Arabidopsis thaliana: one gene and its partners. The protein of the gene in region 3 interacts with the protein of the main gene of each other region in a pairwise test. Each region holds a gene or a part of one and is shown on either strand. Other genes may lie near its edges. The genes, in order: PDLP6, PDLP3 and AT4G12950.

Evidence for each region.
Region 1: the proteins of AT4G12950 (region 3) and PDLP6 interact in a protein complementation assay, tested with the Arabidopsis thaliana proteins (2 studies listed by BioGRID).
Region 2: the proteins of AT4G12950 (region 3) and PDLP3 interact in a protein complementation assay, tested with the Arabidopsis thaliana proteins (2 studies listed by BioGRID).

What each region holds. Positions count from the first base shown.
Region 1 is NC_003071.7:290,008-294,613, forward strand, and holds PDLP6 (plasmodesmata-located protein 6), read right to left. Parts: upstream 2,682-4,606; 5' UTR 2,490-2,681; coding exon 1,766-2,489; coding exon of another isoform or gene 1,710-1,765; exon of another isoform or gene 1,281-1,709; coding exon 1,149-1,280; coding exon of another isoform or gene 1,141-1,148; exon of another isoform or gene 977-1,140; coding exon 966-976; 3' UTR 566-965; downstream 1-565. UniProt on the Arabidopsis thaliana protein: Modulates cell-to-cell trafficking.
Region 2 is NC_003071.7:14,122,254-14,127,548, forward strand, and holds PDLP3 (plasmodesmata-located protein 3), read right to left. Parts: upstream 3,274-5,295; 5' UTR 2,776-3,273; coding exon 2,349-2,775; intron 2,099-2,348; coding exon 1,727-2,098; intron 1,337-1,726; coding exon 1,229-1,336; intron 936-1,228; coding exon 928-935; 3' UTR 553-927; downstream 1-552. Other genes in the region: MAC3B (MOS4-associated complex 3B), read right to left, coding at 4,331-4,467, 4,544-4,614, 4,742-4,793, 4,895-4,979, 5,069-5,146, 5,244-5,295. UniProt on the Arabidopsis thaliana protein: Modulates cell-to-cell trafficking.
Region 3 is NC_003075.7:7,574,760-7,577,782, reverse strand, and holds AT4G12950 (Fasciclin-like arabinogalactan family protein), read right to left. Parts: upstream 1,142-3,023; coding exon 611-1,141; downstream 1-610.

The DNA of each region.
Region 1 (4,606 bases), on a different chromosome or scaffold from region 3:
CATCTATTTGGCCTAGGATAATATCGATTGCATAAAATGATAAGAAATACAAAATAATTAAAACATTTCAAACAAATTTTAATCTACTTGAGAACAAGTTTTATTTTTTTGGGCAAATCTAATATAGAACATAAGGCGAATAATTGATGATAGAGAATTGTGTCACGTAAGCCGATTGTTCCACCAATTAGGCAATTATGCTTGTATCCCCCCTTACTTTTGTATGAAACATAATGATATAAATTTGAACACTTTATAAAGTTCTACTTACTAAAGACGTATTCATATCTTTAGTATGATATATTAGTATCTAATTCAATCAAATATATACCTACCATTTGACATTATTTTACTTTAAATCATCGTGGATGCGAGAATTCGTTGTAACGAGTTAAGATTATATGAATTTAGAAAAGGGATTTCAAAACTTAGTTATACAACATGAATAGACTTCTTTGATTGATATATAGTAGAAATGATACACCGATGCGTTTTGCAAATGAAAAATCTAAGAGAGAAATTGAAGGTAGTAATAGTTTAGAAAGAACAAAATTCTATTTATATACTGGAAATAAGAAAATGTATAGCTAACTTTGGCTTTAAATTCATAGAACATATATATACATTGTTTTGTCACAAACAGTAACACAAAATCAACAATAATTCCTTTAAACTACAACGTTAAGTGATTATGATAATTAGAAATACATATCAAAGATAAATTGCATATGCGCCACTTTTAAATGTTCTTACGTAAAGATACGATCACAAATCTAAACGGCGTGAGTTTTCTATACATTTGAAAAATAGTAAAACTTCAATTAAAGTGGGTCAAAAAAGAAACATCCTTTAGGATTTTAGTGGAGAATATGAAGAATCTCTTCGCTTTTCTTTCTCCTTTACGCATTTGATTCTTTTTTAAAACCATAAATTGATGATACAAGTCAAAAGTCCCATAACGTTATTTACTTCCCACCTGATATATTAAAAACAAAAACATTAATAGATGATATAAACAACAACAACAACAAAAAAAGTCGGATCATAGTGCCTTATCTTTGGGCTCCATTAATTACATATTGATCCGTTAATCATAACAATATTTGATGATAATGTTCGATTAATTAGGGATGGGTCATTTCATTTACCTTTACCTCTCTCGCACGATTTTGCCATAAAAGAGAGAAATACGACGAGTAACGTAACTCCAGCAATTAAGCCAACTATGATTGCAAGTGTTTTCTCTATCTCATCGTCATCATTGTTATTACGATTCCCACCTAATTACATCCCAAAAATAACACATTTTTAACAATACAATTATCAAAAATATTATATGCATAAATTGTAAATTCTATGCAAAGAAGATGGAGAAAATAAACGAAAAAAATAAATCTTGAAAATAAAAATCTCACATAACCACATGACTAAGACAATACGTTCGTAACTATTCGATAATAAAATATATATAAATAGTAAATACTGTACAGTTAAGTTTTTACTGCAGTTATTGATTCAGTTACCACTGTTAACGGCTGTTAATTTGAATATCTAATTTTAACAAAATTTAATAAAACGAAAGTTTTAAAAAGATATAAAAATTAATTTAGATATTTTTTGAGAAAATTAAATAATAGAGGTATTAAACAGACAAACTAAAATTAGCCGGAGATTTTTTCGGGTTTTTCCCTTAATTAAAAACTTTAAAATCAAATAAAAATCTTTATAAAAGAAATAAAAAGCAACGGAGCAAAGAAGACATTACCATAGCCGTTGGCTCTAGAGTGACCTCCACGCGCAGAGTAACGCGCGTAGCACTTTGCTAAGTACACGTCACCCCAAGCAGCTCCTCCGCAATCCGTTCTCAGCCGTCCGATCGCTTCCATCAAACAGTCTTGACACTCAGTCGCACTAAGATCTCCGGTGCACTGCGCCACACCTTGCAGTTCCCCCGACACTCCTACTCTGTATGAACCACCGCTACTCGCCGCTAAAGAACCCACCACCGAGTCTCTACGAGTCATCTCGTCCGAGTTATAACCAACCGGTGGTCCACAACGTCGAACCACCACCGTCTTATCCTCAACACCGAGGAACGTCGTGTTGTCGTATTTAACGAAACAGCCTTCGAGCTGCAACGCGCCACCGCTTGCCATGGCGCAGAGACTCCCTAGACGGCTTACTGCTCGCGCGACGCATCTTGCACAATCTCCCGAGCCGGAGGAGAGATCACCGCGACACTGGTACAAACCGTAGACGGAGGAACTGTCGCCGGAGATTCCGTTGGTGGTGAAGTTGTTGTATGTGTAGAGAGAAGCTGAGCTAACGAACGAGGTGAGTAGAGAGTTAACGTTTGACTCGTAAGGCGATCCCGGAAAGTACTTTTCTTGTGAGCAACCACCGTAGATAAAAGTATCGACAGCGGCGGATGAAAACGTTCCGAGAAGTGACACGACGGCGATAAAGAGAACTGTTTTTGTAGCGAACATGACTTTCGACGATTGCTTCTTTTTGTTCTCTCTCTCTCTGTGGTATGATTCGAGAAAGAATGAGAACGTCGCGACTTTTTTTTATGCTTGGTGTTTAACTTTTTTTTTTTTTTAATGATTGGTGCGTTACTATATGATTATGAAACACTTTGATTATATTGTATTTTTATCATCTGTTTATCAGTTATATGGTTTGGTAATCGATATACTATATGTCAAAATTATTTATTTGGTAATCATATATATGAAAGTTGGCTAACTTTCTTCATATGAGTGACACATCATCACACTAATGAGTGTCACATGTTATCCTAAATTAATATTATTAGAAAAATAATAAAACTTGGTGATAAAATTTAAAAGTTTAACATTGCATTGAATCATTCATTAATCTTATTTTTAACAAAATATCTTCACTTAAAAGAAAAAAATATAAAAAATTATGTTAATATATCAAATACTATTTTCATTTTACTTTTCTTATTTTGCTATTTTTTTTAATAGTCAGTATTTGATAATGGTTAGAAACTTTTGGGTATTGCAACTTACCTGGTACTTAACCTTTTTTAATTTAGTAATTTTAACTTAATTTTTCTTATTATTACATTTTTTGGTCTACATGATATTATCATGGTCTTTTTGTACTTTATGATAAATTAGTAACATTAATAATAACATGCATGTTTTTTAAAGTAATGGTCTTTTGAGACGTTAGATATACCAAAAAATTTAATATACGACATTCTCTCCAATATAGCTAAATGCAAATGTAAAGAGAGAAACCTAAAAGTATTAACTTAAAAGACTGTTTAATTTTTGCTTTCTTTTTTTTCTTTCACGTGAAAACTTTTAATGCAAATGAGTAGTTAGTTATACATATGTTATTTATTTTATGTCAATCTAATACTTAGCCATGAGTTTATCATGATGTGATTGGGATATTAGATTAAGAGAGAATACATGAAACAATAAATTGTTTGCTTAGAATCAAATTAGACAACTTTCAAACTAAATAAGTAACATAATTGCATACCATTGTATCATATATTGTTGATGTAAGTAATTCATGATAGTTAAAAAAAGATTAGAATTTTGGGTATAGAGATAAAAAGATTTATACATAAAAAATATAATTGATATGTGAATCAAAAGTGAATCTAACTCTACAAATATAATTACATAAAATAAATATAACTTTATTAACTACATAATAACATATACGGAAAAAACATAAATTAGCAATCAAAATAGTTAAACATAATTATTTTTAAATAATTTTTAAAATAACAACCTATACGTAGTGTGAGTATTCACCTAGTGTAATTTTATTTTTGTTAAAAGTAGTTGGTATATGCGCACATCATGTCATCATCCTACACCGGGAAATTGGGAAATTCAGGACTGCCTAAATAATATCTTAGCTTTGGCCAAGAACCGTTACTATAATATATATAGTCGTAGAGAACCAAATGTAATGGCAAATACATTAGCAAGAGAGGCTCAACAAAAGCAGTATTATTCTACAAAATTTATGCAATCAACATATTTTAAAAATAATTTTATTCTACAATTTTTCATTTTACAAATTTTTATTTGGCAATTTATATTATTATGCTATTATGTAATGTTACCAATTGGAGTTATAGTCTCTTGGGTCTGTTAAATGTATTTCTGTACACACTTTCATTATCTAATGGATAAATTGGCCGACTAAAAAAAATATAATCATGCACTGATTAGTTTTGTTAAGTTAATTTTACACACATCTATGGACAACTCGAGGGCATTTTTGATTTAGGTGATCTTTGTTACATTGCAAGAACAATTTTTTCATAGATTGTAACTATTATCTTTTGATCCTTAAGATTATTTCAAACTATCTAAAGTTAATTTAAACTATGCCAGAAAAGAAAATTGTTAGTATTTTGTTACCAAAAATTTAAAAATTGCTAGAGGTCATTTTTATTTTTCATTATATTTGAATCAAATATCTATTATCAAAATTAGTAGAATCAATCTTATTAATTAGAAATAACTTTTTGCATAATAGATTAGAAATTTTCTAAGTTATAAAATTAATAATATATAAACTCTTTTTTAGTAAGATATTAGCTTAA
Region 2 (5,295 bases), on a different chromosome or scaffold from region 3:
ACTTGTGCGGAGAGTATTGATGTTTGATCCCAAAAGGTATCAATCAAGTTCCCTATTCCCAAAATCATAAAAAGCATCACACTTCTCCATGAAATCGCATGAGTGTTGTATAAAAAATTAACCATAGTTTCTTTCACTCGAGATACATAAACAACAACACATTGAGAAGTACATAACTCGACTTTCGTATTTCCAAATATATAAATTATGCACACGATTATTTTCTGAACAAATAAGATTTAAGTAATGCCGAAAAAAAACATTTAAATAATGCAAATTGCCCACAATAATACAAAACGCGGTGGAATCCTACTCATTTTACAAGAAACAAATAAAAATTGCCAGGTTATACCAATAAAGTTACTTATCAAACGAGATTTTGATAGAAAAAGTACCAAAAACAAGTTGGCAGAAAAAAACAACTCGACAGAAACTCAAAAAGCAACTCAACAGTCTAGAAAAAACAAAATATCATTTAAAACATACGAAAACAAAAATGTATAACGTTATCAGAACAGAATAATGTAAAATGCTACAGCATAGTATAAATTCATTTCTGTTTAAGAGTTACCCATTGTTAAACTATAGCATAACATCCAATAGAATGACTTCACGGAACTTGTAAAAGGTATGAAATTAAGACAAGTATAAGTACTTAAGGAACTTCAAATGAGATAATTCATTTACATTTTTAAAAATAAATTGAAAGTACTTTCTCCATCTTCTAACATTTTAAAATGGTCCCAGCTCTTCTTCATCCATCCCACCACAATTTCCACCTCTCAAAAATACTGTATTCAATAAACTAACAATTCGAAAAATATAAAAATCGGGACACAATTAATTGCATGCACCTCGGAATTCACATTAACGCTTGCCTCCATTTCGGGGTTGGGACTCATTTTGTTGTCTTCATCCTAATTATTTTCAATAATCTGCCAAAAAAAAAACATAAGTAATCAATTTTTTTTGCCTTTATTCTTCTTCTCAACATATGCATGTGTATGTCTATTATATGCAAGCTCTTCCACACTTAATTTTCAATATGCTCAAATTAGAAGGATAATTAATATCTCTAATAAAAAACACTGAGTAATCTATTATTTTGGCAATACAAAAATGACAACTCGTATGAATTACGTTACATATGCATGTATGCTTATAGACGTGATACGTGCATGAATGTTGTCTACGTGTATGTATATATAAGTGGAGAGGAAGTAATTACCGTCATATTTCTTCTTCATCAAGTTTTTGACGAAAAGTAAGCAAATGACAAGAAATCCAACACCAGCTGTTCCTCCTACTATTATTGCCACCGTTTTGCCTGTTGTTCCTGTTTTTTTCCATCAAAAACCATTTCATCATCCTAATAAAATATACCTAAAAATACATTTCCTAAACTTTACGCTCTCTTTTCTAAAGAATTAATTGTTACGAAACCGTAGCAAACTATAATGTTGAAAAGAAAAAAACAATATTTATTCATCAAAATGAAAAGAAACAAAAATCACAATTGGAGCCTGAAAACAAAAGAACAAGTTTCACACTGAAAACCTTTTGAATTAAAGTGAAGATAGTCAAATAAATTAATTATTAACTTCAACATCGAATCATTTTCTTTTTAATGAACACCTTTTCAAGATTTTCCAGCAAATATTAGAACGTTGGTATTGAAATTTTCCACCAAAATAATAAACAAATAAAAAGAAATAGAAATTTTCACCTGAAGAAGATGAAGAAGAAGAAGAACCCGAAGAGCCAGAGCTAGGATAAGGAGAAGATCTCTTGGGAACACCATTTGGGTAGAAACTATAACCGACAAAACACTTATGAAGATATATCTGACCAGATATTGAGCTTCCACATTCGACTTGAGCTCTCTGTAACGCGTTTTTTATGCAACCGCTACAATCTGAATCGCCTATATCGCCTTCGCATTGTCCTAAAACGTAAACCGATTCGTATGTCGTTGCGTAGAAGCCGTGACCTTGAACGACGCCGTTTTGCATCACCCCGAAAGCTGTGTCTCTTCTCTGTTCGAATCCTGTCCCGGCGACGTTGTTCTTCCCACATGTCTTGAATAACAACTCCATTCCTAAAGAAATTTTTAAACCGGAGTTAAAATTAGTCAATCTCGGTTCGGTTTATGGTTAAAACCGAAATTAGGTCGATAGTTAAAAGTTTCTCTGGTTTAGTCGAATCCTAACTTTGGTTAAACCTATATCTAAAACCAAAACCTGATTCTTAACCGGGTTCTTGAAGTTCACACAGAAACTCGAATTCCGGTTCAAGAAACAAAAAATTTCGAAGAAATTGAGATTAAACCAAATAATGGAGAGTAATACCTGAAATTTGGGCAAAGCCAGAGATTTCATAGAGAAGATAACAGCCGGAGAGCTGAACTCTAGCAGCAATGGTTTTGCCACAGAGCTTACCAGAGAGAACAGGAAGACGACTAACACAGTTGTAACAGTCGTTGTTACTTAAATCTCCTCTACACTGGAAAAGACCAGTGACGCTTGTTTGGCTTGTTGTTCCAGTTGTGGTTTTGTAGAATCTTGTTTTCGTTGATTGAGTAACCAATAAGCCATACATTGCAGAGAGAGCTTGTGAGTATAAACCAGATGGATCTGATAATCTCTGTCTTGCACAACCTTTGTAGATTAGGTTCGTGTACTCTGGTGAAGAAGATTTTGCTAGCTTGAGATCTGAGAACAGAGCCATGATGATGATGTAAAGTAACAAAAGCTGCTTCAGTGAATAAAACCCCATTTCTTTTGTATTGTGTGGAAGAAGAAACTAAAAAATCAGAACATAGTTTGTTGTAGAAGAAGAGTTGTTTTGTTATGTTATTGGAGGAAAGATTTTTGTGGGAATTTTGAGGATATGGGTAAATGAGAAAGATTAAAATCTTTTTTGTTGTTGTTGTTGTTGTGGGGCTTGTTTGGAATTTAACTTTTTTGGGAGTTTATGAAATTCTGTGTTTGGTGGATCAGTAAAAGCTCTTTATTTTGCTTCTTCTGAGTTTTCTGAATTTGGTGTTAATGGTGAAAGAGAGAGATTTTGTAAGAGGCTGTGGATGGATGGATGACCACTCTTTTCTCTTTCTTTAGGAGATGTGGAAAAAGAAATAGGATTAGGATAGAGAGAGTCTGTAGAGAAGGGAGCGTAATTTGTTTTCTTTATTTTTTAATATAACAATCAAACACTCTTTTCTTTCTTCAGCCACCACTGACCAGTCTAAAGACAGTACAGTGAGCTTGGTGTGTGTATTGCAGTCTTTGATTATTAGATTTCACTTAAACTGTTTATTCAACACCTAACTTTTTAAAATTAGAATAACTACTCTTTTGGTTTCAATTCCATTTGATGTTTAGAATTTAGTAATGAAACCCAATAATAGTTACTTTATGAAAACACGTTTTCGACAATAATTAAAATGGAAGACAATTAGTATTATATTTACTCTGATCATCTAAAACTGGACAATTTTTTTCCCAGTAGCTAGTAAGGTTATGTATTTTGTAGTTGTTACTAATTACTATATAAAAAGTTCATCGTGTAGGTATTTCTTTAAGCTTAGTTTATGTATTTTGTAGTTTTTATACGATGATTTGTTCAAGTTATTTTAGTATTTTCAGACAAAATTAAAAAAATAATATAGACAGGGAGAAACATAAGCATTCTTTAGAATTGTGAGGAAACACGTGGTTATACCTTAACACGAATTGTCAATCCTGGTCACAATAAAGAAAGGGTATTACAAAACATTATCTTTTGCGTGAAGTTAAACTAATCCTGGAATTGCAAAAGGAATCACGAATCTGATATTCGTGGATAAATGTAAATATTGTGCCCAGTGATTTTTGACCAAGTACAGTCAAGGGTATTCTTTAACATTTAGTTAAAATTTTGTTCTCAGAGACCAGCTGAAATCATTTGTTGGAATACGGAATACTAAGCAGACCACCACTGTCTAGAACAGATTAAATAATACCAAATGCGGTTTAGCACCATCGGTTTGGGATCTTCATTAGTGTCTGAATTCATTTGGCAACAGAAAGAACACATTTTTTGGTACATATATTGAAGGTACAAAGCGATTAAAAGAGCCTATAAGAAAACTCGAGGGTTTGTGAGTGTCATTGTTTGAATTCCAAGAGGTAGCGAGGATGATCACAATCACCACTCACTCATGACCCGCACCTATGAAATTCTCCCCCATTGCTGCAAATACTGTAAGATACAACAGAACTTGAGAAATTTGAGCGAGATAACACTGGAGATGGACATTTGGAATGTTCTGTCTGAGTTTTTTACGGATTGTTCACGAGTCTTGCGCAGAGTCATCATCGACGTTGGCTTTTTCATCACCAGGAAGACCAAATATCCGTAGGTTACGGTCCATCGAACCGACTGCAACGTACTGTGCATCTGAACCAAACTTCACACACGTAGCTTTACCTGCAAGTGTAAGGGCTTCGAAATTAGCAACATTATCGCTATGTGATCATTGAAGGAGTTAGGTAAGGGACTTTACCAGTGCCGGAGAGATCTGGGAGTGTCTTGATAAGGTTCCATTCAGCTTTCACACTTGCCGTCTGGTATACTCTGCAGCCAAAACACATAAATTGTGTTAACCCAACGTGCAGATTAATCAAGCTAGCTTGGTCTCTTTGGATATTTTCTTTAGCTGAGCTTTGGATGTTTTGATCACTATTTTCAAATGTGTACTCACTTGATATCTGATGCAGCAATACCGAGATAAGATCCGCTAGGATCAAACTCCACTGCACACAAAAAAAAAGTAGGTTTAATCAAAGCGAGCTTATAATACATAGAAAGTTCTCTATCAACAAAATGAGTAGAAACAGATACGATAGTTGTGTACCAGAGTTCGCATCTGCAGATAAAAATGATTTGAAGTTCCTTAACTTGCGCAGATCCCACAACCTAACACCATCCTCTGCAGCTGTCTGTCAATTCCAGGACAAAAAGAAAATCATTCATGTAAGCATAACTTAAGCTGTATTCTCTCTTCTCGTATTTTGTTCAAAGTACTCACCGCGAGGAAGTAACCATTTTCAGAGAAAGATATAGCTGTAACTTCCCCAGTGTGTCCATCAAACTTAGCCACATTTGCCTATTATCAACCAAAAAAATGAAAACTATAATGAAGAACACTGTACACAATTAATAATTTTAATAGGTCATATAGTTTGGAAGCCCATAGTTTTTACCTGACTTTTAACGTCCCAAATCTTAACAACAGATTGAGAAGTACCGGTTCCG
Region 3 (3,023 bases):
AATGAAATAGATAGTTAAAGTATTTAACAATATAGAATATGTAAGATTGATTAGTAGTGGTCTTCGATAAGATTTGTTGTATTTCAGCTGGTATTTTGTTTAGTGATTATAGAATGGTAAATGTTTTTTTTTGTAGAGATCTCTTCGTCTATTAATAATGACTCAAAATCTAGTTGACCATTCATGATTCATCTATTACTTTTTTTGAATATTACTTTTCATATATATATATATATATATATATGTTGATAACCTCTCATTGTCGTGGTAAATTTTGGAAAGATGTCTCAGTTATTTATATTGATAATGACTCAAATGATGAGAAGTATCTATCTCCGTGTGTTGTGTGTATAGAGAAGTCGGCATTTTAATGAGTAAAAAACAAGAGAGCATATATGTTCATCGTTAAACCTCTCAATGTATGCAGTCTACGTGTTTAAAAAACAAAAATAAAAAGTTGTACGTTACTAAAAATGACCAAGTCATGAGTACAAGAAAAAAAGGTTTAAGTGTTCATTTAAAAGACTTTCATATTATAGATTAGGGACTTCAGTCTTTTCATATATATATCATAAGGTGAAATGAGCACAATCTATTCATATCACTATGATTAAATGAACCACACAACCGTAACAAGCATAAAGGTGAAGAGCGGCCATTTCGATATAAGCTTAGAGCCGCCGCCGTAAGTTGTGTAATCAAGCGGATATGCAATACGATGGATGGCTATGAAGGAATCCACGTAGATGTCAAGTTCGATGATGAGAACGCCGTCGATAGAAAAAGAAGTAGCAGAATTGTTGGTTACCAGAATGGAGGAGCCGTTGAGAAGAGTCGGTAGTCTCGATCTACTTGGCTTCAAGAGAAGATCTGCAAACTCAAGCCTCTGAGGAACAATGTGGTATGAAGCCAACTTATGTCTATCATCGCTCCCGTTGGCGGAAGAGTTTGGGATGAAGAGGGTAGATGGGATAACCTCGGCGCGGATCCGGTCATTGGTTTCTATGAAAACCGATGACCATTCTTCAAAAGGGGCATGAGCCAATGCATCAATAACATCACGGGCCGTCTCCTCCACCGTGCCAGAGACAACGGCGAAAACTGAAACGGTGGAGAGAAGAAAAAATAGTAGGAGATTCATATCCAAGAGACCAAAAGTGAGAGAAAAGTCCAAGAATGGAAGAAAGGAGTTTTCTTTTGTTCTTGGGAGTTAGGAAATTGTGATATGGCTAGTTGTATCAAGTTAGTATTATATAATTAAAAGCAAAGAGAATTATGTGTAGGAACAAAAGGTGAGTGAAAGTGTGAAGAAAGACTGCACACAAATTTTGAGACCTCTTTAGAAGCTTGAACCGCACAAAAAAAAAGGATTGAGTTCAAATATTTCCTATATACCATAATAGCTTAATATTATGATTTTGATTTGATTAGATAGAGAACAATGTAGCTCAAATGATAATTGGTTATAGAATACATTTGGAACATTTTTAGTTTTTCTTAAGTATCATTGTATCAATGATATCATTAACAATAAAAAATAATCTTAACCAAGAGTAAATATAACATGATTGATATATAAAACACAATTATATATCATACTAGTCAAAGCATCCCATTTTCTTGAAAAAAGCAGGTACCGATGCCTTATGACAAAATTTGTTTCACTCAACTGCACAAAATATTTATTAAATAGAAATAATAATATTAAGAATCACCAAACGATTTAGCATTGGTTTAAAAGAACCTTTACCCTTAACCTTTTAATTAGAGATAAACTTAACTAGAAGAAACTTTACTTTAATAAAGTAGACTGTGACTGAAAAATATAATGAAAGCCAATTATGGGTTTTAAAAGAAATTGTTTTGCTTTAAAACACCTAAAACATATTACATAATTAACTATAACGATTTTAAAAACAAATATTAACCGAACTAAAAAACAAAGCAAAGTCTATACGTAATTATTTAGGATAATGATTGTTTATCCTGAGACTGCCTTGATTGGTGTATAGATTAACATGTAAAAGCTAAGTACGTAAACAGAGGATAGCGTGTACTAGAATGCTCTCCAAACCAAATAACATAATTAGGACATAATTAAACAGAACTAAGGTCTTAAACACCTTCTTGAATTGTTTCGGATACTCCTTTTGTTTTTGGATATTTCGGGTACACATTCGGTTACCTTTTCGTTCGTTTCGTTTAAAGATTCTATAATCCATTTTTTTCACGCTAGACCCGAACCGTCTAGTTTGACCCTGTGACCTGTACACACTTCCAGTTTGGGTTAACATCCAACAGTTTAAAAACTAGAAAAAAAAACACAAAAAATTCACCATTAACATGCTATCCACTGAATCAGTCGGGTTTGAGTTTTAACAAAATCCATTTGATTTTGATATTTTGGAATTAAATATTAGGAATGGTGAGAGAAACAACGGTGATTAGTTATATTGTTTTCGCAATGTTTTATTAGTTTTTTTGTTGATAATCTCATACTATCTAAGTATTTTTTTTATGGTTTTTGTTGGATTTAAAAATTTTAATCACTTTATTTTTATTGTGAAACTTCATATTTTGTTAAACATGGTATGATTATTTTTTATTTTTATATTTATAATACTATATAATTTCTAAAAGTATTAAAAATATTAAATAAATTTTAATCAATTGATCTATGGTCGAATCCGGTTGAACCCAATGACACAGTAACCTAAAAAGTTATCTGGTTCACCATTCGGGTTGGGTTTGAAAAAATTGGTTAAGATATTTTATAATTTTGGTTGGGATTCAGTTCGTTTTTTTATTTGTTCGGTTTAGTATTTTGGTTTCGGTTATCTCAGTATTTCTTTCTTGAATTATTCTGTTACGGCTAACACGACTTTCTAGTTAAAAGCTTATACTCTGTTTTTTTCAATAGGTTTTCTGCTCCTGTGCAGAACATATGAACTATACATCTTACAGCTGTACATAATCTCATTATTCTTTCATCAATAAATTTCACATTTCATCAAAACAAAAAA